Schizosaccharomyces pombe: one gene and its partners. Changing the gene in region 1 together with any one later gene gives a genetic interaction. Each region holds a gene or a part of one and is shown in the gene's direction. Other genes may lie near its edges.

What was found.
Region 2: mutations in sck2 (region 1) and uri1 together harm fitness less than expected from each alone (positive genetic interaction), as found in Schizosaccharomyces pombe (2 studies listed by BioGRID).
Region 3: mutations in sck2 (region 1) and cgi121 together harm fitness more than expected from each alone (negative genetic interaction), as found in Schizosaccharomyces pombe (2 studies listed by BioGRID).
Region 4: mutations in sck2 (region 1) and git5 together harm fitness more than expected from each alone (negative genetic interaction), as found in Schizosaccharomyces pombe (2 studies listed by BioGRID).

What each region holds. Positions count from the first base shown.
Region 1 is NC_003424.3:5,042,572-5,052,119, reverse strand, and holds sck2 (serine/threonine protein kinase S6K family Sck2), read left to right. Parts: upstream 1-3,107; 5' UTR 3,108-3,602; coding exon 3,603-5,543; 3' UTR 5,544-6,504; downstream 6,505-9,548. Other genes in the region: Golgi-specific 1-phosphatidylinositol 4-kinase, type III-beta Pik1, read left to right, coding at 1-52, 102-143, 341-2,711; ribosome biogenesis protein rlp24, read left to right, coding at 7,448-7,452, 7,503-7,641, 7,889-8,323. UniProt on the Schizosaccharomyces pombe protein: Protein kinase that is part of growth control pathway which is at least partially redundant with the cAMP pathway.
Region 2 is NC_003421.2:324,331-331,444, reverse strand, and holds uri1 (prefoldin-like protein), read left to right. Parts: upstream 1-4,350; coding exon 4,351-4,498; intron 4,499-4,572; coding exon 4,573-6,524; 3' UTR 6,525-6,577; downstream 6,578-7,114. Other genes in the region: tfx1 (translin family protein), read left to right, coding at 1,001-1,696; DNA-binding transcription factor, CBF1/Su(H)/LAG-1 family Cbf11, read right to left, coding at 1,984-3,743, 3,822-3,903; dar2 (aspartate--tRNA (Asp) ligase), read right to left, coding at 6,578-7,114.
Region 3 is NC_003421.2:917,462-924,297, forward strand, and holds cgi121 (EKC/KEOPS complex subunit Cgi121), read left to right. Parts: upstream 1-3,916; 5' UTR 3,917-3,960; coding exon 3,961-4,485; downstream 4,486-6,836. Other genes in the region: rps1702 (40S ribosomal protein eS17), read left to right, coding at 403-405, 470-865; yta4 (ATPase Msp1), read right to left, coding at 1,311-2,378; THO complex subunit Tho7, read right to left, coding at 2,994-3,225, 3,275-3,425, 3,482-3,700, 3,754-3,760; skb5 (Shk1 kinase-binding protein 5), read left to right, coding at 5,608-6,030; XRCC4-like factor xlf1, read right to left, coding at 6,751-6,836. UniProt on the Schizosaccharomyces pombe protein: Component of the EKC/KEOPS complex that is required for the formation of a threonylcarbamoyl group on adenosine at position 37 (t(6)A37) in tRNAs that read codons beginning with adenine.
Region 4 is NC_003423.3:1,458,239-1,466,363, forward strand, and holds git5 (heterotrimeric G protein beta (WD repeat) subunit Git5), read left to right. Parts: upstream 1-5,610; 5' UTR 5,611-6,087; coding exon 6,088-7,005; 3' UTR 7,006-7,507; downstream 7,508-8,125. Other genes in the region: bem46 (palmitoyl-(protein) hydrolase), read left to right, coding at 1-325; rRNA endonuclease Utp24, read right to left, coding at 1,114-1,555, 1,610-1,746; ribosome biogenesis protein Llp1, read left to right, coding at 2,337-2,384, 2,524-2,829; mug93 (TPR repeat-containing protein), read left to right, coding at 3,481-3,537, 3,597-3,706, 3,861-4,845; putative alpha-1,2-mannosyltransferase Omh5, read right to left, coding at 7,573-7,797, 7,900-8,125. UniProt on the Schizosaccharomyces pombe protein: Beta subunit of the heterotrimeric guanine nucleotide-binding protein (G protein) involved in glucose-induced cAMP signaling.

The sequences.
Region 1 (9,548 bases):
GCTATCCTAACAATATTGGCATTCATCACTTTCTTTGCGAAAAACTAGCAACGTATGTCTACCGTATCATTTCTTTGTTTTTTATGTCTAACACATATTAGATTTCCTTATGAAGAGATAGAATTTTTTATTCCTCAATTAATGTACGTTTATTTCGATAAATAAAGAAAAATTTTTGGGGGGAAGGAAAGTACCAAAAAGTCGAGCTCATAAGTCAGTGAAAGCCGAGTATATGACTCATATGCCTATTTCATAATTTAATGACTCTCTTACCTTTTGATTTTCTTTCCTTCAAACGTTTATTCCGTTGTGTTCGTGCATCTCTAATATCATACTGTAGTCATCTCGTCCTTAACAAAGATTCTGAAAGCGTTGCTTTAGAAGAATTTATCATTTCTCAATGTGAACAAAATACACAATGCGCACTCATTACATTTTGGTATTTGCAAGCCCATATGGTGGATCTAGGTTTACAGCCGCATTCTTCTTGTTTTAAAATATGTAAACGACTTTACAATCGTATTCAGATTTTGGTTTTCATGTCATCATCATCGTTAATACAGTCCCAACAAAAAATCTCCGAAAATGTAACCCCTGCCCTAATCCTTTCAGGCATCATGCTAGGTGGTGTTTGTGTGCCTGAACTACTAAAAAAAGCTGGCCCCATTGCAATTGCTCAAGGCCGTAAAGCCCCTAGGCAAGATCCAGATGAATCAGATGTTGATGTTTTACGCCGTCTTTCCACCGAACCTCGATATTCTCTGGACGTATTACGTTCGTCTTTGAACAACTCTATTGTCGAGCAACATTCCGAAGTATCCCTTAGACTAAAAGCTCCAGAACTAACCCGCACCCATTCATATCAATCATCAGCTACATTATCTATTGACGAACAGCGTCGTGTTCTACGCTCTAATTATTTTCAACAAGAAATTCAATTTCTTTTTGCTTTACAAGATATATCTATCCGTCTCATCATTGTACCTAGACAAGCTCGCCTTTCTTCATTACGCGCCGAACTTGCTCTTTTAAATAACAACCTTCCAGCCGATGTGAACATACCGCTTTTACGATCATATCATAAAGAAGTGAGTCATAAAATCGTTCGCATTGATCCTAAAGAGGCTACCATACTCAATTCTGCCGAACGAGTACCTTATCTTATTATGGTTGAGGTCCTATCTGGTGAACTCAGCTTCGAGCCACAATCGAAGAAAAATAAGGCTAAGGTGCAAAAGATTGTCTCTCATAAAAACCAAAGAAAAAGGTGGTTTGACCTCACAGATGTCGATCCTTATACGAACCTTCAAGACAGTACCGACAATGATATTTCAGAGTCGGAAAGTGAGGGAGGGGATTTAAGTATGTCTCCTCTGATAAAAGGGTTGGTACCGGACACTCTTTCTTTGAGTAAGTCATTCTCTTCGTTTGGTAATGTATCTTTGCAGGTACCGTCCTCTCATAGAGATACCGATGTCGTCCTGTTATCTGGGCGCCACTCTGATTCTGATGGAAATGGCGCCTTAAAAAGAAGTAAAATCTATGCTTCAGAAATAACAGCGAGAATGCGAGCTGCGGCAACTATGCTAAGTCAGCTTGATGCTGAAGGTAGCAGACGTCCCAAAGCTGAGACTGAACGAATAAAAAATAGCATTATTCTTGACATGCAAAGACTCGAAGAAGAGCGCCTTAATGAACCATCCATTTATCCTGTTTCAGTCGACATATCATGCGCAGAAGATCTGCGATTTGGCAAAGAAACTCAAAAGGCAGAACGGAAAGGTGATAGAGATGATCCCAGTGCCGCTACATTCCAAGAAGATTGGTATGCCAAGAAGGAAAGGATAAGAAAGTCTTCTCCTTATGGTCATTATCCCAATTGGGATTTGGTCAGTGTGATTGTTAAAACGGGTGCGGATCTCCGGCAAGAGACATTTGCCTGTCAACTTATATACGCGTTTCAGCGTGTTTGGCTAGAGTGTAAAGAAAAGGTTTGGGTTCGAAGGATGAAAATTTTAGTGACCGGCGACAATAGTGGCTTAATAGAAACGATTACAAATGCCATTAGTGTTCACTCTATTAAAAAGAATTTGACGAAACAGCTTCGGGAAGCTGAACTAGCCCAAGGAAAAATTGCTGGTAAAAATGTTGTTACATTGAAGGATTATTTTATAAAGCAGTTTGGTGATCCCAACAGCAGCCGGTATCGACAGGCACAGACAAATTTCCTTCAATCATTAGTGGCATATAGCATTATATCATACTTACTACAGTTAAAGGATAGACATAATGGTAACGTTCTTATTGATAGTGAAGGTCATATTATACATATTGATTTTGGCTTTTTACTTACGAATACACCGGGGAATGTTGGCTTTGAAAGCGCTCCATTTAAGCTTACGGCGGATTATTTAGAAATCCTTGACGACCGGTTTGATGAATATCGTTCCTTGATGAAAGCTGCGTTTAAATCTGTTCGAAAAAACGCTGATCAGATCATTTTGCTTGTTGAAGTTATGCAAAATAATTCCACAATGCCTTGCTTTCGTGCTGGTGAAAACACAAGTGCACAACTTTTGCAACGTTTTCAACTACAGCTTGGTGACAAAGAATGTGATGACTTTGTGGATTTGTTGATTCAAAAGGCAAATTGTAGTGTTTGGACGAGACTTTATGATCTGTTTCAAAATATTACGAACGGAATTTACTAGTAAGTGGCTATTCGTTTTCTCTTTTCATTTTTTTCGAATACAGCTACGGAGCTTCCACACTTGAACCATACTGCTGGTTGGCTTTTTTAACTTTCAATATTGTATTAAAATCACCACATTCACCATGGTTCGTAAATTTGGTAATTTTTTTGTTAGCTAGATTAGCTATATTAATGCATTAAAAATATTTTATGTGATCTATATGATTTATCATACCCACTAGAAACCCTTGCAATTATAATATACTATTAAAGCATACTGTCTAAATTAACTGCATTTCTAAGTTAGCAAACAATTTGGCGTAGTTAAATCCGGGTTAAAGAATCCTTTCGCACTTCCGTATATTGACATACCAAATTTTAAAGTAAGATTAGGTACTGCAACCCACTTCAATTTACCCTTTACCATCAAATTGAAAAATTAGGCGCAAACAGTAATTGTATATTAGAACTTGGAATTTTTTTCTTTTCATTTATAATTTTGTGTTATAATCCTTTGTTCCTTCTTCTACTAGGGGTTGTTTCTTTGCACAATATTGTAGTTGACATTGGTTAATGGGGTATCTTCATATTGATTACAGTATTCGTGATATAACAAAGAAATTTGGTAGGAAAATTTTAGTGTTGATTAATAGTTTTTCTTATCAGGATTATATCCAACTGAGGTGAATTATTACTTGAGACTTTACATCATTAAATTTTATGCAGGTATTAAGTCGTGATTATATCAGTCAAACAAGTACCTTTTGAATTCATTTTCATACCTCTTCTTGCTTGAAAGAAAGAAAATCCCTTTTTGCATCTACAAGCAATTAATCCAACAGTGACATTTTGTGTTCGTATTTTCTTTTACAATAATCGTACATAAATTGGTTTTTTGAGTGATTATAAAATGATGAATAAGTGGGCAAAAAATTGGTTCGGGCTGTCTAAAAAATCGGTTTCCACCAATTCTGCTAAAGGGTCACTTCCCCGAAGTCCTTTGGCAAGCATCCAAACCAATCAACCAGTTGAGGAAGGTGAAGGTGGTTCACTTCCTTCAGTTTCAAATTTAGGTCCTTCCTCGATAGACCATCCCATGGAAGAATTCGCCAGTGACCAGTCTACGGTTGGTAACAGAAATAGTAATGATATATTACCTGAAGTTGACCATGAACCTTCAGGCTATTTGAAACTTCAAATAGGTTCATTAGTTTTGGGAGGACCTCATACTGATGCAGCATTAGCCATGGAATGCTCAAGACTTAATCAGTTGTTTGTTGTTGTTCAATTTGGTACGACGGAGTTTGTTTCACCTCCATTGAAATGGGAATCACCTGGCCGTGATATAGGCACATCTAGTCGGGATTCTGCTAATGTGAGTAGGAGTTCATCTATGATGAGCTCTCATCCCATTCCTACTCCTGCAATTCAACGTACGTCTTCAATTCCAAATCCCTTAACTCCATCTTATGTTGTATTTGATGTTGCTAAACCGGTCCCCATCGATGTTAATATTTATGACCATGGTAATAATAATGAATTTGTTGGGAGAACTTACATTCACCCGTCTTATAATTATGGTCAATTTGAACAGTTTTGCAACAGCGTTGAAGTTTCTCCCGCATACAACCGTATGGTTGATCTTCGTCTTTCTCTCAATACTGTTTTCCAGCCTCTCAGTCAACACTCCTACGGCCCTGATGACTTCGTTCCGTTGAAATTAATTGGAAAAGGTACATTTGGTCAAGTCTATCTTGTTCGTAAAAAAGACACCGAGCGCGTATACGCAATGAAAGTACTTTCCAAAAAAGTAATAGTCCGTCGCAAAGAAGTTGCACACACTGTTGGGGAAAGAGACATTCTCGTCCAAACTTCTGCAGCTGATTCGCCCTTCATCGTTGCTTTACGTTTCTCTTTTCAGACCCCCAAAGATTTATATTTGGTGACAGATTATATGGCTGGAGGCGAATTATTTTGGCACCTTCAAAAATCGGTACGATTTCCAGAAGAAAGGGCAAAATTCTATATTGCCGAATTGTTGCTTGCTTTGCAAGCGTTGCATAAACGAGGAATTGTATATCGGGATTTGAAACCTGAAAACATTCTTTTGGACGTTCAAGGACATATTGCCTTATGTGATTTCGGTTTGTCAAAGGCCAATCTTTCAGTGGGGACTACTACACGTACGTTTTGCGGTACCACGGATTATCTAGCTCCTGAGGTTATTTTAGACGAAGCAGGGTATGATATGATGGTTGACTTCTGGTCTTTAGGGGTACTTTTGTACGAGATGACATGTGGCTGGAGCCCTTTCTACGCTGATAACACACAACAACTTTACAAGAATATCGTGTTTGGTAAAGTCCGTTTTCCTAGAGGGTTGCTATCTGTAGAAGCCAGAGATTTGATTAAGCTATTATTGAATCGTAATCCAAAGCATAGGCTTGGTGCACATGGGGATGTTGAAGAGGTAATGAAGCATCCATTTTTTGATGGAATTGATTGGAAGAAACTCGCTGCGAAAGAAATTAGTCCACCATTTAAACCAATAGTGGAAGGTGAAATAGATGTTTCTAATTTTGATGTCGAGTTTACAAATAAAGCAATCGATAGAGACTTTAGTAGCACAGATGAAATGTCGACCTCTGCACCTTTATCATCAACTGTCCAAAATGGGTTTAAGGGTTTTACCTATATTGACGCAAGTGCTATGGATGAAGCATTCGGATACCACAACTCAAATGATTCTGCTTCTAGTATTTCCAGTCAAGATGATTATTCTAAGGACAATTCCGATATGGACTTAAATCGTGCGAACGATGAGGTATTTATGGGACAAATAGATCCATAATACGTTTGGTCTCCACGAATGTATCACTGCATTGAGAATCTTATGCCCATATTTTTTCTAGGCTGGATCCCTGAACCCGAGAGTATCTTTTTGTACACGCTTTCAATCGTTGTACTATTTTCTTATTTACTAGTTGTCCAGCAAAATTTCAACATGTATTTTGAAGGACAGGTAAATAATGTTTTAATTTAATCAGCGCTTAATCATTGAAGCGTATCGTTTTAATTTTTTTTTATTTCCCTTCTAAGAATGATTTTTTAGGATTGTTATTAAGATGCCTGTTTATGTGGAAGCAGGTTCGGGTGAAGTTCATTTTTTTTCGGTGCATATTAAGGGAATACTTAATGATCAAAGGATCTATTATTTCTATATTTTAATCTACGTTCACCAGGCTTTTTTGGTGTAATGTTGGGCTTGTATGGCGTTGAATCAACTAATTTTGGAACAAATTGTGCTTAGTTTTTTTGGTTCCGAACTATGACTTAATTGTGTACAGTGGTAATTACACAATTCCAAAATTCGTTGAATTGGCTGACATTAGTAGTAAGGTATTTTGCTTTACTAAGTAATTGTCATCTTGCTTAAGGCTATTCTATCTCCAATTGTAATGTCTTCGATTTTGTTCCTCTCCTTATTTTTTTTTTATTTTTCTCTTTTGCTGGATAGACGTTTATTCAGTTAGGTTGAAGTTCAGTTTTACGAATGTATAATGGTGTATGTTAGAATCTAGTTAAAGACATATTCTTTTAAACGCAAAGGAATTTAAAAAAAAGAAAAGACAAAGTACAATAGCAGTATTATTGATGCCCTCCTTGAGGGTCGTTTTGTAATAGATCTTCAGATGAAGATGTATTTGGATACTGTCGTATACGATAATTTGTTTTAGATATAACGATAATGACATAAAAATTTTTTAACTATGGTTTTGGAAACCAGTTTATCGATTTTTATTTTACTTGTGATTCTCTTCATTCATTTGTCTTGTGGGTCTTTGCCACAAATATTCGATATAATGTTTATAAAAACTAAATATGTAAAAAAATAACCTGTACATTCATTTTATTAAAAAAAGTAATTATAATAAATATTCTTTAACTTATGGTACACATAATATTGTTATCATGTATGGTCTTGATGGAGAAAAGGTAAATAACTAAACTAAAAAATTTAAAACGAAGTAAAAAATATCGGTAAGTACGAAAAATAGATAAAATTTAATAAAAAAAGGAAAAAAAAAAAAACAATTACATTTTCTCAAAAATCACTTGAAAACTAAAGACTCTTCTTGTTTTGTAATACTAGACTTATTCAATTTGACTAAGTAAAACACACTTGTATAATAAATAGTATATTTTATTTGTAATGATAACAAGGTCTCGTGGCCCAATGGTTAAGGCGCTTGACTACGGATCAAGAGATTCCAGGTTCGACTCCTGGCGGGATCGTTTTTTCAAAAGCTCAAATATCGTGAATACTGTAAAATACCTTTTAAGATCGTGCGTCTATGTATCCTATTGCAATCCAGTAAACTGCATATGCATAGAGGGATTGTGTTTTTAAAAGCAATTAACCTCGGTAATATTATGTATTTATTTTTTTTGGCGTAGACACGCCTTTGATAAAGAAGCGATATGAGTTAACAAAAATTGAAGATAAAATTTATTATTAATAGGTTCCTAAGATTGCGTCCGAGACCATTCACTCGAAACTTCACCGAGATGGTATTTCATTAAATAACGCAACCTAACGATATATCATAAATTAGATAAGGCATATTTGGAATTCGCAAAACGCAGCTTAAGTAGAAGCTCGCATCTCAAATATGTGCGTTGTAGGGAGCGCGAATTTTTACCTGCTCTTAGCCAACTTGAACATACAAGGACGGGAAAGAATTTAGGGGGAATATGAGGTTTGTAGAGCTAAATGCCTTCAAAGTATTTATTACTAACGGAAATTTAGGGTACATACTTGCTATTTCTGCTCGGGTCCTGTTTACCCAGGACATGGAATAATGTTTGTTAGAAATGACTCCAAGGTCTTTCGTTTCTGTCGCAGCAAGTGCCATAAGAACTTCAAAATGAAGCGCAATCCTCGTAAGGTATGTTTTTTTTATAATAAAGGAATGCAAAAACGTTATACAGACTTGGTTGAGGAAGATGATTGATTTTGAAAGAGGAAAAATTTTTTTCTGTTGCCTTGTTTTGAAATGATACTTTTCTTCTTCAAATTCTACCTTAAATGGTGTACTTTTTCCTTTATATGCCCATGAACGAAGAAAGTTTTCTATTGTTTTTTTAAATGTTTTGCTTCCACCTATATGTATGTATACTAACTTCAATGTCTAGGTTGCTTGGACCAAAGCGTACCGTAAGGCACATGGAAAGGAAATGGTTTATGACACAGCTCTCGCAGTTACCGCAGCTCGTAGAAATGTTCCTGTTCGTTACGACCGTAATGTCATTGCAACTACTTTGAATGCCATGAAACGGGTTAGCCAAGTTCATGCCAAGAGAGAGCGTCTGTTTTACAAAAAGAGATTGGCTGGCAAACGTGCCCAAGAGCTTCAAGAAGCTCAAAAACTCATTGCTCAAAATGTTCCTCAATTTACCGAACCCGAAGGTGAGGTTGAAACTGCTGAGGTACAAGAACCCCAAATTGTTTCCGACGAGGAGTATACCATGGAAGAAGAAGTTGCAGAACCTGTCAAGATTCCCGTCCTCGCCAAAAAACGCAAAAACAAGAAATCTCGAAACTCATCTTCAGCCATGCAAATGGACTAAACACTCTTCTTCCTACAAAAATGTAACTCTCGATCTTCCGTTGGTTGCGTCCCGCTTCGTTCTTTTATTTTATTTTATTTTATTGTTTTATTCCTTTCAAATTTACAAAATAGTAGAAGAGAAGACATTTTTGGGGAGTGGTTTTCTTACACTTTCGAACTCTTTAGACACTTCGAAAACGTGTTTTTTAAAATTTATCTTGCATATCTAAAGTTGGCATTTGGTTTCGGCTTCTCTTCTCGTTTGGTTACTTCTTTGGACTTGCATGCTACGTGCAGATTAATATGGTTAATAATGGATTTTCGTGTATACATACTTGTAAACGAACCTATCTTCAGTTTGGAGCTTGTACAAGATACAACAGTCTAACAGTTTGAAAAATGGTTGTTTAGGAATAAATTGGTTTATATTATTAGTTTCGTTTATCACAAATGCCTCTTCGAAATGTAAAATTCTACTAGAACGATAGAACATTGCTTCATTATTTGGATTCAATTCTCCATGAGGTATATTTAGTAAGTCATAAAACAGTAAAGACTTTGTCATTTATGCTGGTTTCCTTGCATATACATTTCTCTATAGTTGACAAGCCTATTCAAGTCTCATATCACTGTGGAACTCATGAAAACAGATCCCTCTCCTTGTAAAGCTGTTTAAACCCTACAGTCCAATGCTAAAGGTTGTTAATTCTTTAGAGTTGCGAGTCCGTTATTGACGTTTTCGATTGCTTGCGCACACTCACTAACACCATACATTAGCTAACTACTGACACATTGCACCTGCCGTTTATCTCAACTCATTGTCTTAGTAGATGATTTTTTTTTTTCAAAATGGTTTCTTAGCAAGACTCATTAAAAACTCCTTGACAGTTTTATTACCTTCTAAAATATGTAAAATGAGAAGTTTCATAGAGAAATGAACTATTCTTCAACATCTTCTTCTCTTTGTTTTTACCGAGGAGACGTTAGACTGCGGAAACGTGGTTTATGGGACGTGTGTTTACACTCGGTGGATGGAAATGTTGAAGAGCGGAATAATCGCGACGTCGTATCAACTACCAAAATCGCGTATGCAAATTGAAAACAGAGTATTTGTTCAACTTACATGGTTTTTCGAGTATTTATATACTAGATTCCTAGTTTTAGGAGAGTTCAGATAATCGAGATAGCCATTGGTATAGTTGGGGCTAAAATCTTTGCTTTCATAAGAAAGCAGTAATTTCCAA
Region 2 (7,114 bases), on another chromosome or scaffold:
AAGTACATAGGAAGTATTTACAAATGTATAATCTGTGAATGACAAGGATATGTATTTGTCAATACTGCATTTGAAAAATATATTATAAAACCATTATTAAGAATACAATTTATTTAGATCTATAATGACTATGGATAACAACTAGTCGCAATGGTGTAGTTGGGAGCATGACAGACTGAAGATCTGTTGGTCATCGGTTCGATCCCGGTTTGTGACACTTTTTATCAGCAATTACAGCTTTGTAAATAAAGCATTTAACACAATGAATTTTGTGCCAACGCTGAGTAGGAATAATATCTTTCTCTACATACTCTTTAACTGGGCAATCCTGGTAATGTATTTGAGTAATTAAGCAGTATTGAGTCTGTTTTCATCGGCATTGTTATTTAGTAAAATGATTGATTGATGAATGTACACTCTTTCGTTAATTGCAAGAATTTATGCTGTGATAAACAATCATTTGCGCCTTGGATTTTAAGTAGGCTAAGATTTATTTTAAATACTAATGATGTTGTAAATATAAAAAGGACGGGACTCTTTTTAAGAAATATAACTAAATAACACGTGGAAATGACAAAAAACTTGGGTAGTTATTTTCAGAATTGTTCAAGCAAAGCTCAAATTTCTTTCTTTATATATTTATTATTTTCACATGTTCAAGATTTTATTGTCAGAAGCAAATGGCTTTAGTCCACAGTAAATTTAAATAACCAAAAAAATTCATTATTCCTATTAACCGATCTTTATTAACAATATTTTCTCTTCATTCCATACATGGTCGATTGTCCTGCTGCAGCTCAAATCACTATTTCAATTTCATAGCACAGAGCCAACTAACCTTACTCAATGATCCACTAAACAATATTTCGTCTCTTAAACAACAAATAGTCATCTTGATTTGCATTTAATTCAATTGATAATATAGACTTATACATTTATACCTTCCACACGGCTTTGCTGAATTGAGGATATTATAAAACTTTAACCGAATTTGCCAAATATGGAAGAGGAATTCCTCTCATTTAAAAATTTTTTACAGGAGGATCAAGATAAGAGGGAGAAAATTATTCGTCTTTCTCGTGAAATCACAATTCAAAGTAAACGAATGATCTTTCTTTTACATCAAACATCCTCTTCTGATGGATTTCCTCTACCCAAGGATTTCGACAGAACATCCATTTTTGAAAAAAAAATTCACAAAGAACTAGAAAGTCTGAAGAGAGAGTTGGCTGGATTAAATGCAGACAAGTTCTCTTCTGCTTGTACACACGGCCTTCAAGAGTATGTTGAAGCTGTCACTTTCAAATTCTGGTTACAAACAGGTACGTTACTTTCTTGTAAAGATAGTAGCTTTAGAATTTCTATTAATTTCATCGACTATGTACTCGGTGTTTGTGACATGACTGGTGAAATAATGAGATTCCTTGTAACCAACGGCTCTAAGTTCTCTGTCCAACAACTCACTCAGCAAGTTAAATTTCTTCGTGGACTACACAAAAACTGCTCAGAAATTGAACACTTACCATCTAAGGTCAAGTCAGAATTACAGCAGAAATTATCAGTAATGGAGAACAGCATTTCAAAAGTTGAAGGAATTTGCTATAGTAAAATTTTAAGAGAAGCAGATAAAAGATATTTAAATTTGGAAGTGGATACAGCAACTCCTCCCGAGGAGAAACGATTACGGTCCACATAATATATGATCGACAGCTCTCGACAGACACCTTACTAGTTTATTAAAAGTTTTTCTGTTTTGCAGCTTTTGAAAATCATAATTATTAAGTACATATTTTCGACGATTCAATTATCTTATCAAAAGCTTCCGCTGCTTTCTATATGTTAGAGTTTCCATAAGCTAGGATGTTTGTACAATATAAAGTTCATTTAATAAGAGAGATTTCAACCTAATTCCATCATTTTGAAAACAAATTGTATTTCAATATTTCGCCATATGAAACCACACGTAAAATTAATCATGATGCATCAGTTTCCAAAAGCACTTGACGTTAGCAAAATCTCGCATTTTCCAATAATGACAATCCCACCTGGAATCACGAACAACAAAGGATACTTTTGTTCTGCACAAGAAGGATCATATGAAATTTGCGACAGACCTAGAGTGACCGTACCCATTGTACTCGTATCAGCAGCTGCGGTAAAACTATACGACAATGGTCCATGAACACCTAGCCAAATTTGTAATCCGACCGAATAGCCTCCAATTTTAAATTGTAATGAGCGCGAGCTCTCCAAATATTCGGGTGGCTCTTCAATATATGGATAATCAGTAACCGTTGGTACAGGATTTTGATTGAATGGTAACATCATCGTACAGTCAAAATGTGATATGCCCACTATAGTCCAGCATACAGAATCTCCAACTCGAGTCATTTCATTTGAACTCAAGTTTCCAACAGCTTCCCATTCTATGGGCAATATAGCCTCACTAGATGCATTTCTGTTTTGTGCCGACGTGGCCCCAAGAAACCAACGGACTGAAATATTATTGGAATATGCCAGTGAACTATGCTCAGCGATCTTAAGATGCCGTACGTTTGATATGGGATATGCGCTTTCTAATACAATTCTATGCATTTGATTAACGTAACCGTCCTCCTCAGCAATGTGGTCTTTTTCTACTCGTCGAATAATTAAAGGGTCACTCGTCGTTCCTGTTGCTTCATCGACCAATTCAACGATGGAGCCATATTTAATGGGTTCTGGGTTATCGACATCGTCGCATACCTTCAGTTTACCATTTTCATCTGGTAATAGCAGGTTAATACGCAATGGCACCCATCTATCACCGCGAAGACAAAACTGACCAGCCTCAATCGATGTATACTTTGTACGTACAGTTTGTGAATTAATCCGGTTATAAAGGCTGACGACTGAACCGGATCGCAACGTAATATTACTAATTTTTAGTTTGCTTCCTTTTTTCGAAGGTTTGGAGACAATACTAATAGAAGAAGTAACCAAATGAGATAACAATTGGTTATTTACATTCGAGAACATGTCCAGAGAAAGCCGTAAGTTTTTAGATTTCGCAGCGACCAAACTCGATATATGCAGTGACCGAAAAATCATACATCCTTGGCCAGTGTATTCTTCGCTGATGGGTTGCGAACATTGCCCAAAATCATTCATTATTGATATCTCAGTGCGAAAAGACTGATTGAATATAGAAGAGTAATTCCCATTAATATAAACCATAGGGGGTGGACATAGGTAACGTTTCTCTGACCCATAAGACTTTTGTATGACAGAGGAATGTCGACACGAAACTGTTACCAGCTGACTAGGTTTCCCTGAACGTGTAAGTGAAATTTTGTGCACACTGTCCTCATTCAAATTAGCAATGCCAATACAACAATTGTTCAGTAAATCCAAATGATCTGATATGGCTCTTCGGATCATCTCTACAGAACTGTCTTCATCAAAGGTTTTTCTTTTTCTATTAAACCCAGGAGGAGAAGGAGCAGGAATTATGTTTTGGGCCAGCTCGTCCAACGAATTAGACGCCTTTGCTACAGCAGGAAAAATTGACTGTTCATCCTTAACTACAGAAGGGAATTCCTCTGATTTTTCCAAAGTAGCCAAAGCTGAGTTTACAGCACTGAAGAGAGACAAAACCTGCATGGAAACACTTCCAGGACTCCCGCTTCCAACTCTTTCAGAATTTTCATTCCTTCCTCCAGCTCCATCCTCCTGATTATGCAAACCATTATTTATGTTGTCCACTAGAAAAATCCGTTAGCTATTTTACGCTTGGGATGTTCAGAATGATTTATAACTCAACCATCATTGCTAGCGCTTACAGTTCAACTGATTTAAATTTAAGGAGCCAGAAGTATTACTCCCAGAGATATTTGCAAAATCCCAGGCAAAATAGTCCCCCATTAATGTTCAAATTATGTTTTATACTTGCTTAAACTGTTGGACCTATAGGATTAAGACATGCATTTGCTTTTACTTAAATTATTTTCAGTGAGAAAATATTAAAATTTAAAGTAAGGGACCAAATTACTAGATGCTTAGGACATTTGCAGTATGGCGCTTTCTACGTACATTAGGGTCAGGTCGGTGGCTTCCTACTCAGTTTGAGCCATTTCCATTAACATCGATTTTTCGATATTATATTAGTTACCCTGTTATTTAAATACTAAAAGTATTTAAAATTTATTAGAATTACTTATTATCTCGTTTTTAAAGTGAATATTAGCTTGCCCGAATAAGCTGTATATGCCTTTTTCCGGAATAACCACGAAACGATCGTTGGCGTGAGATTATTTTGAATTAGAAATTCTTCAATAACTCTATTTAAGATCCTTTAAAACAACTTATCGAATGAACGACGAAAGACTAGTAGCCATCAATTTTGAACAGCAAATCTTCTCTAAGATTAGCGAAATTTCTGAATCAGTCGGTAGGGCGATCCGTTACTGTAAGGAAGATGGAAAAGTTGAAGGATGTGAAACAGCATCCCATGTGGATTGTACGTTACTTTTTCTTATAAATTGAGTGATAATGTTTGCTTCATCAAACGACTAATTGCTAATGAAAATCCAGTCTTAAATCATATTCATTTACTTTTGGGAAATTACAATAATGACTTAGCATCTTCAATTGAAAAGAAGAAATCCGAGTTGATAGTAAGAAACTCAGAAGGGTTACCTGTTATGGATATTCATGAAGAAGTTGATAAAGATGGAAATATTATAAGTGCTTCTGTTGCTCCACAAAGAATTTCATCTGTAATAGATTATGCGGATGTCTTTCGATCCCTTCCTGGTTTCAAAAATATTGAAAATGGGGGGAACCGTGATACATCTTCGAGAATTGAAGAGCTATCTGAAGAAGAAATTAACGATTCTACGAAAAATATTAACTACAAAGCTCCAGAAATGGGCTCATTACCTTCTAATACTGAATTTACTTCAACTCCAACACTTGGTGTCTCAGAATTTCCCAGCAAACATGGTGATCATTCAGACAGTAAAACATATGAGAGTCCTATTAGTAATAGTCAGGCTGCTTCATTGAGTGATTCAGATATGGTTCAACAAATTAAAAATGGTAGCAAGACTTCTTTGTTTAAAAAGGGTTTTCTTTTCAAAAAAAATAATGCAATGCAAAACAGAACTACTTCAAATATAAAGTCAAACGCTTCTGCTATTGAAAAAAATAAAGAAACGATATTGAATGCTCTCAATAACTCTACTTTAAATGAAAATGGACATCAAGATACCCAAAATGAAGTTTTACGAGACATTGTGTTAGAGCATCCGACAGCGAAGGCCCAAGATACTGGGGAATCTAATAAAGATAATAACACTAGCACGTCTAAACATAAAAAACGACCTAAGCGTCTTTCAAAATTTAAACAAGCTAAGCTAGAAACAAAAAAATCTGGCAACAAAGATCATGCTACATCTAGTGAAAAGCTTTCACTAGGAAATGAATCTATTCATTCTATAAACGAAACTAGAAGTAGTAGTATAGAAGAACCAGATAATGCCGACAATAAAATTGTCGAAGAAGAACCGATGTTACTACCAGTTCCGACGACTGCGCAAGGACAAAATGTTTTGGAAGCAGTACAATACGACGGTTTAGACTCTTTAGAAGATATGGAGGCTCTCATTCAGGAAATGGAGGAGGAAGGCGAATTAGATGATAATTCTGAGTCTGAGGAAGATGAACATGGTATGACGATAGGATTTTCCAAGGAACTGAAAGCTCCACCGGATCCTCAATATTTTACAGAAAAGACTGGTGCTACAACTTATGTCAATGGTAATGACGAGAGCCTAAATGTCAGTGACTTTCCACAAATCGTTGAACAAGAAGAGCTTTCGTCAAAAAATCCTCGAAAGGTACATTTTTCAGACACGCTGGAAATTAAACACGTCAGTCGGAGTGGAAAGGCGAATATTGAAGTTATACCTGCTCCAACTGAAGAATACGATAATCTTTTTGGACCAGACGATTTTCAGAGTCGTATTTCAGCGTTTCGTAAAGCAAGGAGCAAATTGCGCGCAAAGGAAAACGAAGAGGGCAACCATTCTAATGCCACATGTACAATCAAGAACGATGATTTGAGTAACACATTAAATAATCGGGCTGCGAATACAAAGTTAAATCCAAAAGAAGAAGACAAATCTACTGTAGAATCCGAGCTTAAAGCACCGCCTAAAGAAAAAAGCTCGGAAACTTCCAAGGAATATTTAAATGAACCATCTGTAGTAAAAGATTTTGTAGTTGAACGAACTCCATCTGACAAAATTAGCGAGTCTAAAGAAGCATTCGATGCGAAAGTCGAGGAAATTAGTGATCAACGAGCTATATCACAACGTTACTACGAACTGAGAAAAAAAATGATAGATAATACAGGTGAATATATTAAGGATGAAGAAGAACAGGCAGTTATACCTTTGGATGAGAATGGAAATGAAAAACCTAAAATGAGCCGATTTATGACCGCGAGGTTGCGTGGTCGTGTTCCCATTTATGAGCATTAGATTAAAATTTTGTATAAAAAAAATTAAATGATTAATGTTTTTGCTTAAGTTATCTAATTACGGTTTTGAGTTTGTCGCGTAATAGCAACGTTGTAGTCTTTCAACATCTCTTCTGGAATAGCAGACGGGCTGCCAATTAAAAGATCAGCACCCGAAGAGGTTTTCGGAAAAGCAATGACCTCGCGAATTCCTGGAGCATTCGTCAACAGCGCAGCCAGCCTGTCAAAACCCAATGCAATTCCACCATGCGGTGGACAGCCACTAGACAATACGCGTATTAAATGCTCAAATGTAGCATACCTATTCTCTGGTAATTTAAGCACGTCTTTAAGCACAAATCTTTGAATATCTGGATTGTGTATGCGAATACTGCCACCCCCTAATTCAATACCATTCACGACTATATCATAATGAAGTCCACGAACAGAAAGAGGCTTTTTTTCCAGTAAATGTACATCATCCCAATGAGGAGCAGTAAATGGGTGATGTGTAGATGTAATAGATTGATTTTTCTCTTCGGTTGGTGAGAAAAGAGGAAAATCCACGACCCAAACGAATTTTAATAAATCCTTGTCCAGCTCTGGTAAAGC
Region 3 (6,836 bases), on another chromosome or scaffold:
CAATTGCTTTATGTTTATATCAATTACAAAAATCAGTAAAATAGATCTTAACAGAGAACTTCTCTGCAATCACGACTTGATGAATAAGAGAATAAACCATAAATATGCTATGTTTAGTTAGCGTATCAAACATAGTGAAACGTAAAGTTTTCTGGACTTTTTATCGTTAATTAGATTAACACAACTCTATAGTGTTTGTGGTAATTGGATCTTAAACTATTTTACATAATGCTTTAGTATTCTTAATAATTATTATATCGCGCTACGATACTTTGTTTTACTTAAATTAGTATTTTGTAATAAACAAGAATATCTTTATTCGATAAACTAATTTGGACTTGAAAGCAGTCACACAGTACAAACTCAAGAATTCAGTGTAGTAAACTCATCACAGGAACAGAAATGGTAAGGCTTTCAATAGAATAGTTAAGAAACCGGTTTGAGGATAGAAATTACTGACAAAACATAGGGTCGTGTACGCACCAAAACTACGAAGAGAGCTTCTCGCGTAGTTATCGAGAAATACTACCCTCGTCTTACATTGGACTTCCAAACCAATAAGAGGATTGTCGATGAGGTTGCTATCATTGCTTCCAAGCGTCTCCGCAACAAGATTGCTGGATACACGACTCATCTTATGAAACGTATCCAACGCGGTCCTGTCCGTGGTATTTCCTTCAAGCTTCAAGAAGAAGAGCGTGAGCGCAAGGATCAATACGTTCCTGAAGTCTCTGAGCTCGAGAAGGACAAGATTAACGTTGATCAAGACACCAAGGATATGCTTAAAGCTCTTGGCTACGACTCTATCCCTACTGTCGTTGTCGCTGCCTCTCGCCCTGAGCGTCCCTTCCGTTACAGACACTAAATAACATTTTAAAAAAAATAAGATGTATGTTCTTTTGAACTGTCACGGTTATTTATTTTTGTGATGCATTTTGTACCATATTGTTGTATTTGTATTCATTTCGATTTGTAGACAGTAAAGTAGGTACGTAAAATCGCTCCTCTAGAAGCTCGGTAGTTAAATTTATTGTACATTTAGTTTAGACGATTTCAATTTTTTCATTTTTGTTTTTACAATCTTACAAATTTACTAAGACCGTTCGTTGTGAATATGATACCTACTGAAGATGAAAGTGCAATGGGCAGAAGTCGTTTAATAAAATAATTAAAATTGGCTGTTGTACAAACGCTCAATATGTTGACTTGACATATTAAGAGAAAAGGAAACTAAACGGTAGAATAATAAAACAATTCAAATTATGATAAACCCTGAGACGTAAATTCAATAAATACTTTTTCTAATAAATTCACTCGACGTCTATACCGGAAACATTTTGTAAGGATTCATAATGATAAAAGTCTTCCGTCTTCAAAGACCTCAAACCGCCTGATTGTATGTCATATTTGATTGCTTCCAAATCATTTCCATGCTTGTCAAAAAGCTCTCTGCGTGGAACTGATAAAGCAGATCTACAGACTTCCTTGATATATGAGCCAGACAGTCCAGCAGTGGCATTAACAACTCCATTCCAATCAAAGTTCGCTTCTAACGGTACCTTTTTTAAATAAAGTTCTAAAATCTTGCGACGCTGTTCGGCATTTGGAAGAGGTATGGAGAATACTTTAGGCATACGACGCCGAATGGCCTCGTCGATGTCAGCTGGTCGATTAGTAGCACCCAAAACAAGAACCCGTGACTGACCACTCAATAAACCATCCCACATCGACATAAATTCAGCTTTAATTTGAGCCATTGCTTCATGGTCTGTCCTTTGGCGTTGCCGCAAGAAAGTATCAATTTCATCGATAAATATTATAGTAGGCTCAAGCTTACGAGCTAGTGTGAATAATGCGTCCACAAGCTTGTTTGATTCACCGAACCATTTGTCTGTTAAAAGGCCCACACTCACATTTATAAATGTAGCTTGACTTTGCTTGGCTAATGCTTTAGCTAGCATTGTTTTACCACATCCAGGAGGCCCGTACAAGAGTAAACCCTTTGGACACGACAAAAGTCCGCCATGGGTGTCAAACACTTCAGGGTATTTTAAAGGAAAAAGTACATCTTGCAAAAGCTGATTAACATGTTCATCCATACCTCCAATATCATCAAAGGAAACATCGATTTCGCTGGGTAGAACGAGCTGTGATGCAACAATCTGCTCATACTCATTTAATTCCAGAGTCTCCAATTCCTTGACTTGTTCCCCAGCCCACTCATCAAGTCGCTTACGGCTTTTGGAAACTGTATCCTGCCTTTTTTGTCGATACGGATCTAAAGTAGACAAAAGTTTATGTGCTGCGTACCAAGAGCAACCAAATGCTAAGGCATAGACAACGATCTCTTTAATTGCCCTTTTAGTCGTCGGATTCATAATCAATTCCCCAGTAATAAACTTCAAAATGCAAGCACACAAAATTTTATGCAGTAAATTTGTCTGGTGGCACGCTACTACTATTGGGGCGGTTGGTATGTTCAGCTAAATGGGTAAAGAAGATATACAAAGTTGATCGTACTTTGCTACATTGTTTGGAAAATATATTCATTGAAAAAATTATTTTTAAATAAAAAATTTTCATTTTCCTAAAGAAACAATCCCAATGGTTTCAAAGCGCAGTTATCAATTATCAAAAGTGGTAATGTAACAATAAATATTTACTCTCTGTGCCAAAAGATTTGGTTATAGATGAAATAACAATTAGTAAACAATAATAATTAAGCAGAGATTTTTTCTGAGTAAATAACCCATTGAAAAATGAGAATAAAAATGGAGCGAGAAACCTTTTAGGAGATTTGGATATACTTATAAATATCCAAAAGGGAACCTAACGGAACTATATACAAAACAATAAAGGACATATCAAGACTAAATCGCTATGCCCGTCCAGTGAAGCTCACTGTTTAACATATCCTAAACGGAAAAACCATTCCTATCATTCGTAAATTCACGAAAATTTTTAAATTATATACAATTTTTTCCTCCTAGGATTTATTTGGCCTTGTATTGAGTCGAACTTGACGACGAAGGATTTTCACCTTCACTAGCAATGCCTTCTTCTGAATCAGATTCGGGATTACTAGGAGGATGCAATATAGACTGTAGGTGGTTCATTTGCTTTAAAGTTTCATCAAAAATATCTTTTCTCAAATTCCATGCTTTTACATAATTCGCGTTTTCTTCTTCTAACTCACGAATAGCATCTTGCAACTTTCCTATTGATCTGTAAACCCGGTCAGTCTAAAATATTCAATATAAATCTGGAAACTTACTCTTGTTGTTCTGTTCTTGATCTCAATCCTTTTGACATTATTGGCTTGGCCAACTCGTCGTATTGTTCACGCTTTCTTAATTCTTCTTGGGCAACTAGTAAATCTTGCTCAAGCTGGCTTATTTCGGTTTTTTCTGCTTCACAAAATGTTTCTGAAAATATTAATAAAAACATCACTGTACTTAAAGTTACGAATTTAATCACATACGAGTCTTCTTCAGTTCTCCTTCGTAAACATCCACTTCTTTAGCATTCATGTCTAATTGCATTTGCAATCGAAGCCAAAAAGCAGAGAGAGCAGAAAATTCAATTTCTAAATCCCTTAAGTTTGCTTCGTCTACATTTTGAGCAGCAAAACCAAGACACCGACTAATCAACCGTTTCAAAGGCCGTTCTTCCACAGTTAAGCGCGATCGAATCGCCGTCTCTGACATATCGGTTAACTTAATATTTTCAAAAAAAAAATTATTTATAGCATACCCTCCATAATGAATTGAGTAAAAAAAAAGCAAATTCACTATACAATTTAGTTGGGCGCTAAGTCAGTAGCTGGAGTGTTCGGAGTTTTAGTCACCGTATTTTACCGATGTTTACCGGCAAAAAGTTATTAGTACGATTATTACCTAAGAAATGTAAAAACGCTAACAAGGATTGCAGTTTGATATTGCTATAGAACAGGCGGGCAAAATGATTTTACCTCTTTTTCCAGAGACACAAGTTCATGTTTTTGTATATGAAAATGTTTCTAACTGTGCTGCGATTCATGAACAACTAATAAGCCAGAATCCCATTTATGACTATGCGTTTCTCGATGCCGCTACTATTCTATATAAAAAGCAGGTTTATAGCGCTATTATTAGGGCTCTCGAAGATAGAAGGGACGAACAAATGAAAACTAAGACGATTCACTCAGAGGTTATTTTGTCATTGTCCCCAAAAACCGAAATTTCTAGTGCGTTCCGACAATTCAGCATGACAAAAAAATCTAAAAACATTGTAGTGGTAAAAATTGATAGCAAACTTACAGAAGAAGAAGAATTTGAGCGCTTGGACAAACTTGTGGAAGGTAATAGGGTCGAATTTTCTGACGAAGAGTTACAAAAATTAATAGACTTCAAGGTGTTAAAAAAGAATTACAAATTGGATCCCTCTACGCTTGAGAATCCTTTGGCCTCTATATTATCTTCGATAGCTCTACGTGGTTATTCTTAAAAACATATGTTCTAGCAAATCTGATCTTTTGTCAATGTTTCACAATTGATTTGACTATTTTTCTATGCGGCTTGAATGATAATGATGAGAGTTCCAAATGGAACGTTGTGTGGATTCTTCTATTCCTTATAATTTTTTCCTCTCTCAAATGACTGTACAAACTATTTAGCAAGCACCTACATAATCAATTTTTGATTTACGAATTGGTAAAGGATGGCACGTAAAGTTATGCCCTCTGGTTTGGTTCAGTTTTATGATCTCTTGACAGTTTTACTAAAGTAACTAAGGGCATTTCATTACGATTATCTGTTTCGATACTTTTACCTAGGGAATGCTTTAGTGTTATTTGACATCATGTTTTGTTCTTGTGCAATATTTTTTGCTCAGGTCTATTGGCGATGAATTACTATATGGTGGATCTCAGTGCAAAAAGTTTACCATTATGTGAATAGTTATTAAAAGTTTAATGGGATTATAAATTAATGGGTTTTTTATTGCGCACCTTATGCTCCTGTTATAAAGAAAAGCAGGTCGCAAAGGTAAGAACTATTTTTATACAACAATAAAGGTTTTTACATCGTATGTTTTACAATTAACTGGCAGCTCTTTGTCAAAATTGTTTATTTACGGATTTAACTTGCCTTCTTGCGGTATTGACTGCTAAGCCGGAATTTGTGATATCAAGCCATCCGTTTCCCAGTCACGCGAAAACTCTTCCTTATGGAAATTTCATTTTAACAAGTACAAATCTGTTAAAACTACATTCATATAATCATATGCAGGCAGCCGATTAGAGAAAAACTAAATTTCTTAGGCAGAATTGTCATTATCCGTCAATACCGCGTTTTTTTTATTTTCCGCTTTGATTTTTTTTATCATTCTTTTTGGTTCTTTTATTTTTGTTTTTATTTGTTTTGTTTTCTTTTTTTCCTTTTCAAAAGTCATTTGAAGACAAAAACTCAACGTTGAAGAGAGCATTTGTTCATCTGTTGACTTTTCGCCAATACACCTGTTTTTTTATGGACTTGCTAAGTATAGTGTAAATTTAACGCTGTCGTTGATCCGTATGATTTCTTTTGATTAATTTAAATCGTTATATGTGACACTAGCAATTTTTGCTTCATGGCGGAAGAGACTGAAGAGGATTATTTAGTTGTGGGTCGTGATTACTTGTACCCCCCAGATCATGAACTGCACTATGGGTTTCATGCTCGTGTGATTGAAGAGGAGGAGGAGCGATTTGTAGATGATACCTTTGATGAAACAATCGAAGGATCGGATGACTCCGAATCAATAGATGATACGGAAGTATTTTACGATGCTGAAGAATCTGAAAGCACTCACCCTTCTGCTTCTTTCAACGTCCTTGCTGACGCCGTTGCGCTTTATGATTTCGAGCCCCTCCATGATAATGAACTCGGTTTTACTACTGGTCAGAGACTTTGTATTTTGTCGGAATCCAGCGATGGTTGGTTGATTGCATACGATGATGCCTCAGGAAGAAGCGGGCTTGTTCCTGAGACGTTTGTTAAATTAGAGGTATAAAAGAGCGTTGAATTGAACCCTTTTTACTTTTTCTTTTTGTCAAATTGATTTTAAAATGTTATTCCTTATTTTATGTTCCAAGATTTTCTGGATCCTCTCCTTTATATATAAGAATCCGAAGTGTTACGGGAAAAAAATTCGGATTGTCACGCTTCTTATGAATATTATTTAAATGTACGCCTTTAAAGCAACTATCATACAATTCTCCTTTGGGTAAATAACTAACCTTGGGATGTGTCGTAACTTGGGACTTATTTTTGATTTGTTATAAGGATGAAATGAATGTTCTATCTTATGGACCTTACAAGAAAAACTATAATATTGTCAAATATAATCATATGAGATGAGTTAAGCTACATAAAACTCTTTGAAACTTTATTTTATATTATTGCAACCTTCTAATAACTTTACATCTTCTTATCCAAAGAAGAAGGGTTAGAATGTACCGTGTTTTACGGAAGTTCCATTCCCGTAGGGTTACAATGTGTTGCTAGAATAAACCGTAAGTCATAGTACATATAGAGGCCAATTCTGTAAACTTTTTTAAAGTCTATGGAAAACCCTCTATGTGTCTCCAATAGAGAACGGACATCTCTTTCTGATTAGTATATACGTTTTCATAGTCTCTTCATCCTGAGGTAAATTGTACAAAACGCTGTAGTTAAACATGTGATCGAGTTAAATAGATATCTTCATAGTTCAATATACCATTAGATTTTTTTAAACAAAATCATAACGAGTACGAGGTCGTTTTGGAGAAATAATATCTGCAAATGCTGAACGTTTTCTTGGTGTGGAAGGATTGG
Region 4 (8,125 bases), on another chromosome or scaffold:
TACCTTTACTTCCATCAAGGACATGATTCCCACCGTCTTTCCCTACGGTGGCTCCATCATTAGTCGCTTTTGCACAGAAATATGGTCAAGTCAGGACGAGATTAGAAAAATTAAGAAATTGCCAGTGCTCTTTCTTTCTGGTGAAAAGGATGAAATCGTCCCTCCTCCTCAAATGGTCCTTTTGTTTGGTTTGTGCGGTAGTGCTAAGAAAAAGTTTCACAGCTTTCCAAAATGTACTCATAATGACACATGCCTCGGAGATGGTTATTTTCAAGTGATTGCTGACTTTCTCGCTGAAAATGATATCAACACACCTGCTTCTTAAGCTTTCTTTTTTTTTTTTTTGAAAACAAACTATTCTCCATTTCACCTTACATTTTTGGTTGCCAGCTTAAAGGTTCTTTTTTATTATTTTTTTCAATCGAAATTTTTTCCCTTTTCATTGGGGTTATCGAGGGCTTTTTTTCACTTGCATCCATTTTCTTTCTCGTTCTTCTTAGAATTGTCGTTTTTTTATAGTAGCCTTAGTTAGTATGTAAGTATTTGGGGTTTATAGGAATAGAATAGTACTGATAAGCAATTTTCCATTGCTTATATTTTTTTTCTTGATATTCGCTTTGTATTGTATCAACCGTTTCGTATATATATACCTACATAGAAATTAATAACTTTTGTCCTTTTTCTTAGATTCCTACTACTTTGTAAACAAACCATAATTCTTTCCATTTTTATTATTCATAAATAAAAAAAAAAACCCCCGTCAAAATGCTCACATAAATAATTTTGCTGTAACCATTGAAAACGGAACACTACTTTCCAATCAATCCTTTTTCATAAAAAGTTTATAAACATTTTCATTCACTATTCCACAGAGATGAAACGATATTAAAACCAAATACCCTAATAACAAAAATATATATCAATAATCAGACGTCAAATCCATTCATGGAAATAAACCCATTTAAAAAATATGGATCACTTTTACCACGATACTTTTTAGGAGTCCGTCTATTCTAAAAGTAATTCACCAGAAAAGATAGTACGGGTAAAACATATCGTCAAGTATCAATTAACAAGATGATCTCTTTTTTTCATGTTAAATTTTGATTTTTCTCAATCCACCACATCCACCAAACGCTCTACTCTAATTTTATGATTCGCAACACTCAAAATGGGGATACCTGGAATCTTGCGAATCCTTTGCTTCAGATTTTTATCATTGGTAGCAACTAAATAGCATTTGTGCTGCATCACACGTTGAACGATACAGTCATCGGCATACGTGCCTTTGTGAGTGCAAGGAAGACGTTCAAATCGTTCATCTTTGGCAATTCGAAGTGCAATACGATAGCGAATTCCCAATTTTTCCAATTCAGCCATTACACAGTCAGAAATACAAGGAATGGTCTTAGCGTACAGACAGGTCATGAGTCCTTCAAAAAGATCAATCTTTTGCTGAAGACAAAAGTTGATAAAGTTTGTATCAATGATAACATGGTAGGGAGGTCCTAGACTCTCATTGAACTGAAAGAAAAGGTTGGAAGCCATTTGTGGACTTGAGGGGTTAGCATCAAAAATCAATAAAGTGCTTATAAAAAAATTTACTTACATTTCTCGAACTAATTCTCCATTCTTTGTAGTTTTCTCTTTCTCTTTTTTCTGATCTTTCTTTTGCAATCGTTGATCCTTAAGGTTTATGACTCGCTTTACCTGAGCAAATTTGCGTGTAGTTTTTGCTTTACCCATTGAAAATAATTAACGGAAGAGAAAGAAGAAGTGATTTAATTTACAAGTTTCGCATTCAACGTCCAAAGCTCTAAATACCCTTTCAATTGGAAGTGCCCAAAAAAATTATTAGTTGTTCAAAGAGGGAAGCAGGCTGCTGGATGAGACTGAAGGACAATGAAGTTCAATGCATTCTTAAAACTTCCATAATGTAAAATAGTGTATCACAATGGAAGCATAACGTATTTTTAATCCAACTGATCGTTAAAAAAATAAATAGGTATATTTATATAACGATACGAAAAAATACATAATACAACTTTACGCGACATACTTTCTTGTATATTACATTGCCCAAATTATTTCTTTCAATTAACTTATTGTGGTTCAAGGGTAGAAGAGACGGTGAACCGCCCAGACATATGTAGTACGTATTTTAATATGAATTACTTTATTCACTAAAACTTCATGATACATTCTGCTAAATAGTGCTTTCCCTGCGTACCCTACAAACGGTATAGCTTATAACGAATACCAGCGTGCTATTTTAAATGATATAAGTTTTGTAAAAATGGATGAACCTTTGCATTCAACTTTTTCACACATCAGCAATGGCAAAATCAGCACGTTCAAAAAGCATTCGTCGCAATAAAAAAGTGGTATGTTGTATAGTATAGACAAATGAAGGGATTGAATGTCTTTTTTTTTGGTTTCGGAAACGGTTTATGTACAATGGAACCGTCTTTAAAACAATTGCCCTTCTCATACCTCTTTATCGATTATCTAACAAAGTAATAGCTTAGAGAAAACGTTTTTCAACCCGTAATTGATGAGCGGACTAAGCGTTTGTCTGCGCACTTACGTGACCAGGTCAATGACCTTACAAAGTCATCCTCTAGCAAAGAAGAGGGAATCGCCGATAATTCCTTGAAAGAAGTCAGCAGTTCAGAAGTATCCGATAACGTTGGTATGGAAGTTGATCAGCCTAAAGTCTCTACTTCTGGTCCTCGTGACAACAATCGCAACAAATGGGCAAAGAAACATTTAAAGAAAGGAAAGCGTGCCAAGAACAGTAACTTTTCGAAATTTTTGAAGAAAAAGTAAATTTAAGTTCACCATTTAATATATAAACTCCGAGATCTTTTTAAGAACTAATTATCAATCTTTTTTCTCAGATTTTTTTCCTTGGGATAATTTTATTTTCAAATTTCTGGTTTTCAACTGGAGACGTTGACCGTGTTGCATAAGGATTTTGTTTGCTTTTGGGGGGTTTGGATTATTTTATATTATTCTTTATAAAAACATATTTTTTTCCAATAATGAATATTTTGTTTCAAAGACTTACTTTTTTTCACGATGAAGTTTCTATATTGTTGGAATAAGTCAATTTTTTAATTTTATTTTTTATATTTATTGTAATTAAGTACGATGTAACTAATAACGTCTCTCTGTCTCAAAAACTGCACTTTTAAATCGTGCTTTTTGCTTTGTTTACCACATGAAATAGAATTAGTAATGCTCTTGGTTGTAAAACCTGATTTTTACAGAAATGTAATAAAGTATGAATATCTAAATATTAAATTAATTTTATTTGCGTATTTTTTATCGCTTAAAATATAATTTTAGTTATTGTTTGTTTACAAAAGTGCACATGGTTATGATATGCCTTCACACATACATTCCAATATTGTTCTACCACATAAACAAATAGATTGACATTCCATCTGATTTGAACCATCTGCATTCAAAATCGCAATGGAAGAAAAGGAGAACGTAAACTTGGTGGAAAAAAGCAATTATGTTGCACTAGAGGTATGCTCTACTTTGATTACCAGAAGATGTTTGTAACGTTTCTAACCCTCAATAAACAGAACACACGAGAAATAGATGTTTTTGATGAATTCCTTAATGCAATTGGAAATGAAAACACCATTACACCGGTTTACGCCGATAGCTCATTAACTCATTTGCGCAAAAAATCGTATGTAACATAATAAATTTAACAAATTACCTATGTCACAAAGGTTCAGAGAATCCTTTGGATTATTAACGGGGTTTCTCGAAAGAAAAAAAAACATCGTCTGAACCTTTGCAGCAGTTTTGCTTTTATGCTAACTAACTTATTTTGCATGCAGCTATACTAAAGTAGTTCATGACTGTACATATGCTCTAGTCATCAATCCGTATGATAAAAAAGTGATATGGAGGAGAGGACTAGCTTATTTGCGACTTGGACATCCTCACTTAGCCAATCGTGATTGGGAGCATTCACTTGAACTGGACCCAAACAATACATACATCCAAAAATCTCTTCATAGATTAAAGGAAGTGTATTACATTTACAGAGAATGTGCAGAAACATGGCAGTTAAGACACCTTAGAGTTGCTTCTTCTCAGCAATTACCTGTAGGATTGCGAAAACAATACCCTAATATAATTCGTGGCAAGATCTGGTGGAAGAAAGTGCACGACAATTGCCAATTGTGTGGACAGCAATGCGAACTGAAAAAGGAGAATCTTTCAGCAATGCGGTCTATGCTTTACATGGCAAATACTTATGCAAAGGATGATACCGAAAATCACTCGCCCAGCGCCCAAATCGGAATAGAAAGCTCGGAGGACGAATTAGAAAATAAAATAACTAAGGGAGAACACTCTCTATTGGTCCCAGAGGAACTGTACAGATCCAATTACCCATGCCCTCAAAACATAGATCAGTTTCTTTATATGATAAAAGTCCTATCTGCCCCCTGTTTGTACATTGAAACGTTTTCATTTCCTATTTCCACAATTAATCAATTGTTCAAAGCTCATGGAATGTCGGTTGAGCAGTTAAATTTATTCTTAAAATCAATACACTATATCGGATTGTGTTCAAGGTTTTGCAAGCAATGGTCCGACAAGGCACGATCGCTGATGCAAGCGTTGAGTGGGCTGCCGTGGTTCAGTTTTGTCGTGCAACATTGTTTACATATAACGGCAGCTCAAATTCTTTTGCATATTCCTGACATCCAAGAAGAAGAATTCAGAAACTGGCATGTTTCCAAAAAACCCATCAACAATACTGATCTCTCTTCTGAATTTGAAATTGCAGAGATCCCAATCAATTGCTACACATGATAACATTGATGACAATAAATTTTTGTATGTTAAGTCAGTCCAGAAACCATCGATGCAATCATTTGGAGTAGAAGGCATTAATAACCGTGTGTAGTTTATGAATAACACATTCATTGTATATCAACCTCTTATTTTCAGTGCTGAAATAATCATTATCAACCACATGAAGCTATATATTTGTGGGCAAAGTAGAAATGTTTGCCATTTTGTTTACCGCCGGATACACCAAGCAATGAAGACAGTCATCGACCCAATACACAAGTATTGTCCGTCAAATGTTAAGTGTAATTGTTAAAGAAATTGAACAAAATGAAAGAGACAAAAAAACTTTCAAGACAGTTTTGTGTTGCACACCAATACTGCCGTTTCTCATACTCTGAGTATATGCCATGAATCGCATATTCACGATTTAATCAAAATAAAAAAGATATCCAAAATATCTACATCTCTGTTACTAAATTGCTTGTTTATTTATAACAAAGCCATTTCACAGATACACAGCCAACGTGGTAAAGCAACCCTTTTCTCATAATCGCTACAACAGCAAAAAAATATATGTCTAATGCAGGTTTTTCAATTTTCTATTATCTCTATTAACTAAACGTTCATTTCATACAATTTTATCGGTATGGCAAGGTTATGGTAGTCTACAAGTTGAAAACCGCAGAATGAATCGGCTATTATATGCTTACGATGAGGATGACGTATTCCATATGTTTGTGTTACGCTGCACACACTATGACGGTTTCCCAATACTCTTCTTTTGACCTTAGCTCTTTACATAAATTCCAGTAAAAAAGCGAAGAAAGCCGTTTTTTTGTGTTTGTTGAAAAACGATACGTTGGTCCTTTTGGTGTTTATGTTTTTGTGCTTGTATTAGAATAATAGATTGTATAGAGGCTTGTCATCGTAAAATTGTTTCAAAGGCGAACGCCAATTTTAACATTAGAGCTTGCAATTCTTTAAACGAAGCACCATTACTATTCTCTTCCTTTTTTTTGTATTGTTTTTCTTTTATTTTTTACTCTTTAGGGTGGATTTAAAGTTGGGCACCCCTGTAGGAGTATTCTAAATTTGTTGTTGTGAGAGTAGTTTATCAGGTGGATTTATATTCTTTTCGCTTTTCTTCCTAAGATCTTTAGTATCCTTATTTCCTCCCCTTTCTTTGTGAGTATATCGTATAGGAACAGTTACGTTACTGTTGTATGAATATTAGACGGAATACTGGTTCAATTTCTAAAGATGGATTCTGGGTCAAGAGTAAACGTCAACATTCAAGGGACTCGAGTTCTCAAAAACAAGCTGGGAAAAATTCCTGACATCGACATATCTACAGATGGAAAGTACTTATTATCTGCATCAACGAATGATGTTCTGTTAGTTTGGGATTTGCACACTTCCAACAAAGTTGCGTTCTTTGAAGCACCAAGCGTATGGATTATGACTTGTGCATTCTCACCCTCCACTAAGAGCATAGCAGCTGGAGGGCTGAACAACTTTTGCGTAGTATACGATACCAGTGTTCCAGATGCGGATCCGGTCGAATTGGTTGGGCATGCAGGATTTGTTTCGTGCTGTAAGTATGTCGATGACGGTCATTTGCTTACGGGTTCTGGCGATAAAACTTGCATGTTTTGGGACATAGAGCAGGCAAAAGCCATTAGCGTTTTGAAAGGTCATGAAATGGATATTGTCTCTCTAGATTTCCTACCCTCAAATCCCAATTTATTTGTTACCGGAGGCTGTGACAAATTAGCCAAGCTCTGGGACCTTCGGGCTGCTTATTGTTGTGCCACATTTCCCGGAAATACATCGGATATTAATTCCATTTCCTTTTTTCCTTCTAACGCTGATTTTGTTACGGGTGCAGAGGATGGTATCGCTCGGTGCTTTGACATTCGTGCTTCTGCTGAGATATTCCAGTATTCATCTCCATCATCCTCCCCCATTAATTCAGTCTTATTTTCCAAGTCTGGAAAACTTCTTTTTATCGCAAAAGATAAAACATGCGAGGTTTGGGATTCCATCTCAAGCAAAACCATCACATCATTAACAGGCCATGAAAATCGAATTAGCTCTTTAGCTTTAACTTCTGATGGAACAATGTTGGCAACTGGCTCTTGGGACGAATGTGTTCGTCTCTGGTCTTCGTCAGGGTAAATTAATGATTTTTTTTCTCCTTTTTTTTTTGTCTTTGGAAATGATGATGTTTGTTTTGTTTTTTTTTCTTATACATTTACGTTTTCGATTCTAGGAGGTTGACTGCTTCATGTCCCACTGGTTTATTATTTTTCTTAATTTTTTATACGTTTATGCGTGGTTTCGTGATGCTTTACTGATAATGTATTCATAAACCCTTGTGTACTAATTCCCTATTTTTTTCGTTACGTTTCTCTTTTATTTCTAAACAAAAATATACCTTTTCGAAAATTTCGCCTTGCAAAGGTTGGCGCTTTTTTATTACTATTTAATTATTGCGATTTTGTAAACGTTTAATCCTAACGATTACCCTTTAGTCTTTTTTTCTTAAAGGTATTTTTCTTCTTACGTATGATAATAAACTTTTTTATAAATGTTGTCTTGCTGTTTTTTAAAACTTATTTTTATGAAAGAACAACCCAAATATTAAATTCTTTTATTAAATAAAATTCTATGTATGTATACTACGAATTGAAAGAAACTGTAAATAGCTATAATACAAAGAGCGTAAAGTACCCGTATTCGCTCTTATTCATCTAAAAATCCCCCCATCACCGATGCCCACTCGTTAATACAAGAACCTGGCTTAGTTTCATAATCGGGTATGTTGAAGGGGCAATCACAATTACAACCATATTCTTGACCACAGTGTTGAATTGTGGAATGTTGATACCCAAGGTCTCTAAAGTAATGGACTTGAGATCGATTAAGGAGAAGACCCACTGCTAGCGAATGCACCGGAGCATCGCCCCACTAAAATAAGTTAGTAATCAGAGATAGGAAAAAAGTATGAAGAAGATTGCACTTCGAAGAACACAATGCTTTTTTTTTTTTGAATAAACTGTAAAAACATACCCTTTCAGTCCAAAATCCTCCAGCATTTTCCAATGCGTCGACATATTCATTATACTCTTTACTATTGTAAAAGTCTAAGCGTGCAATTTCGAAGTTACTCCAAAAATGGCATAGATTATAAATCTGGCCATCAATTCGGTTTAAAGGGGGCTCCGGTAAAACGTAATATCCTTGATCTTTTTGTTCTTCTTTCAGCTTTTTAATTCTCGTTTCATAGCGTTTATCA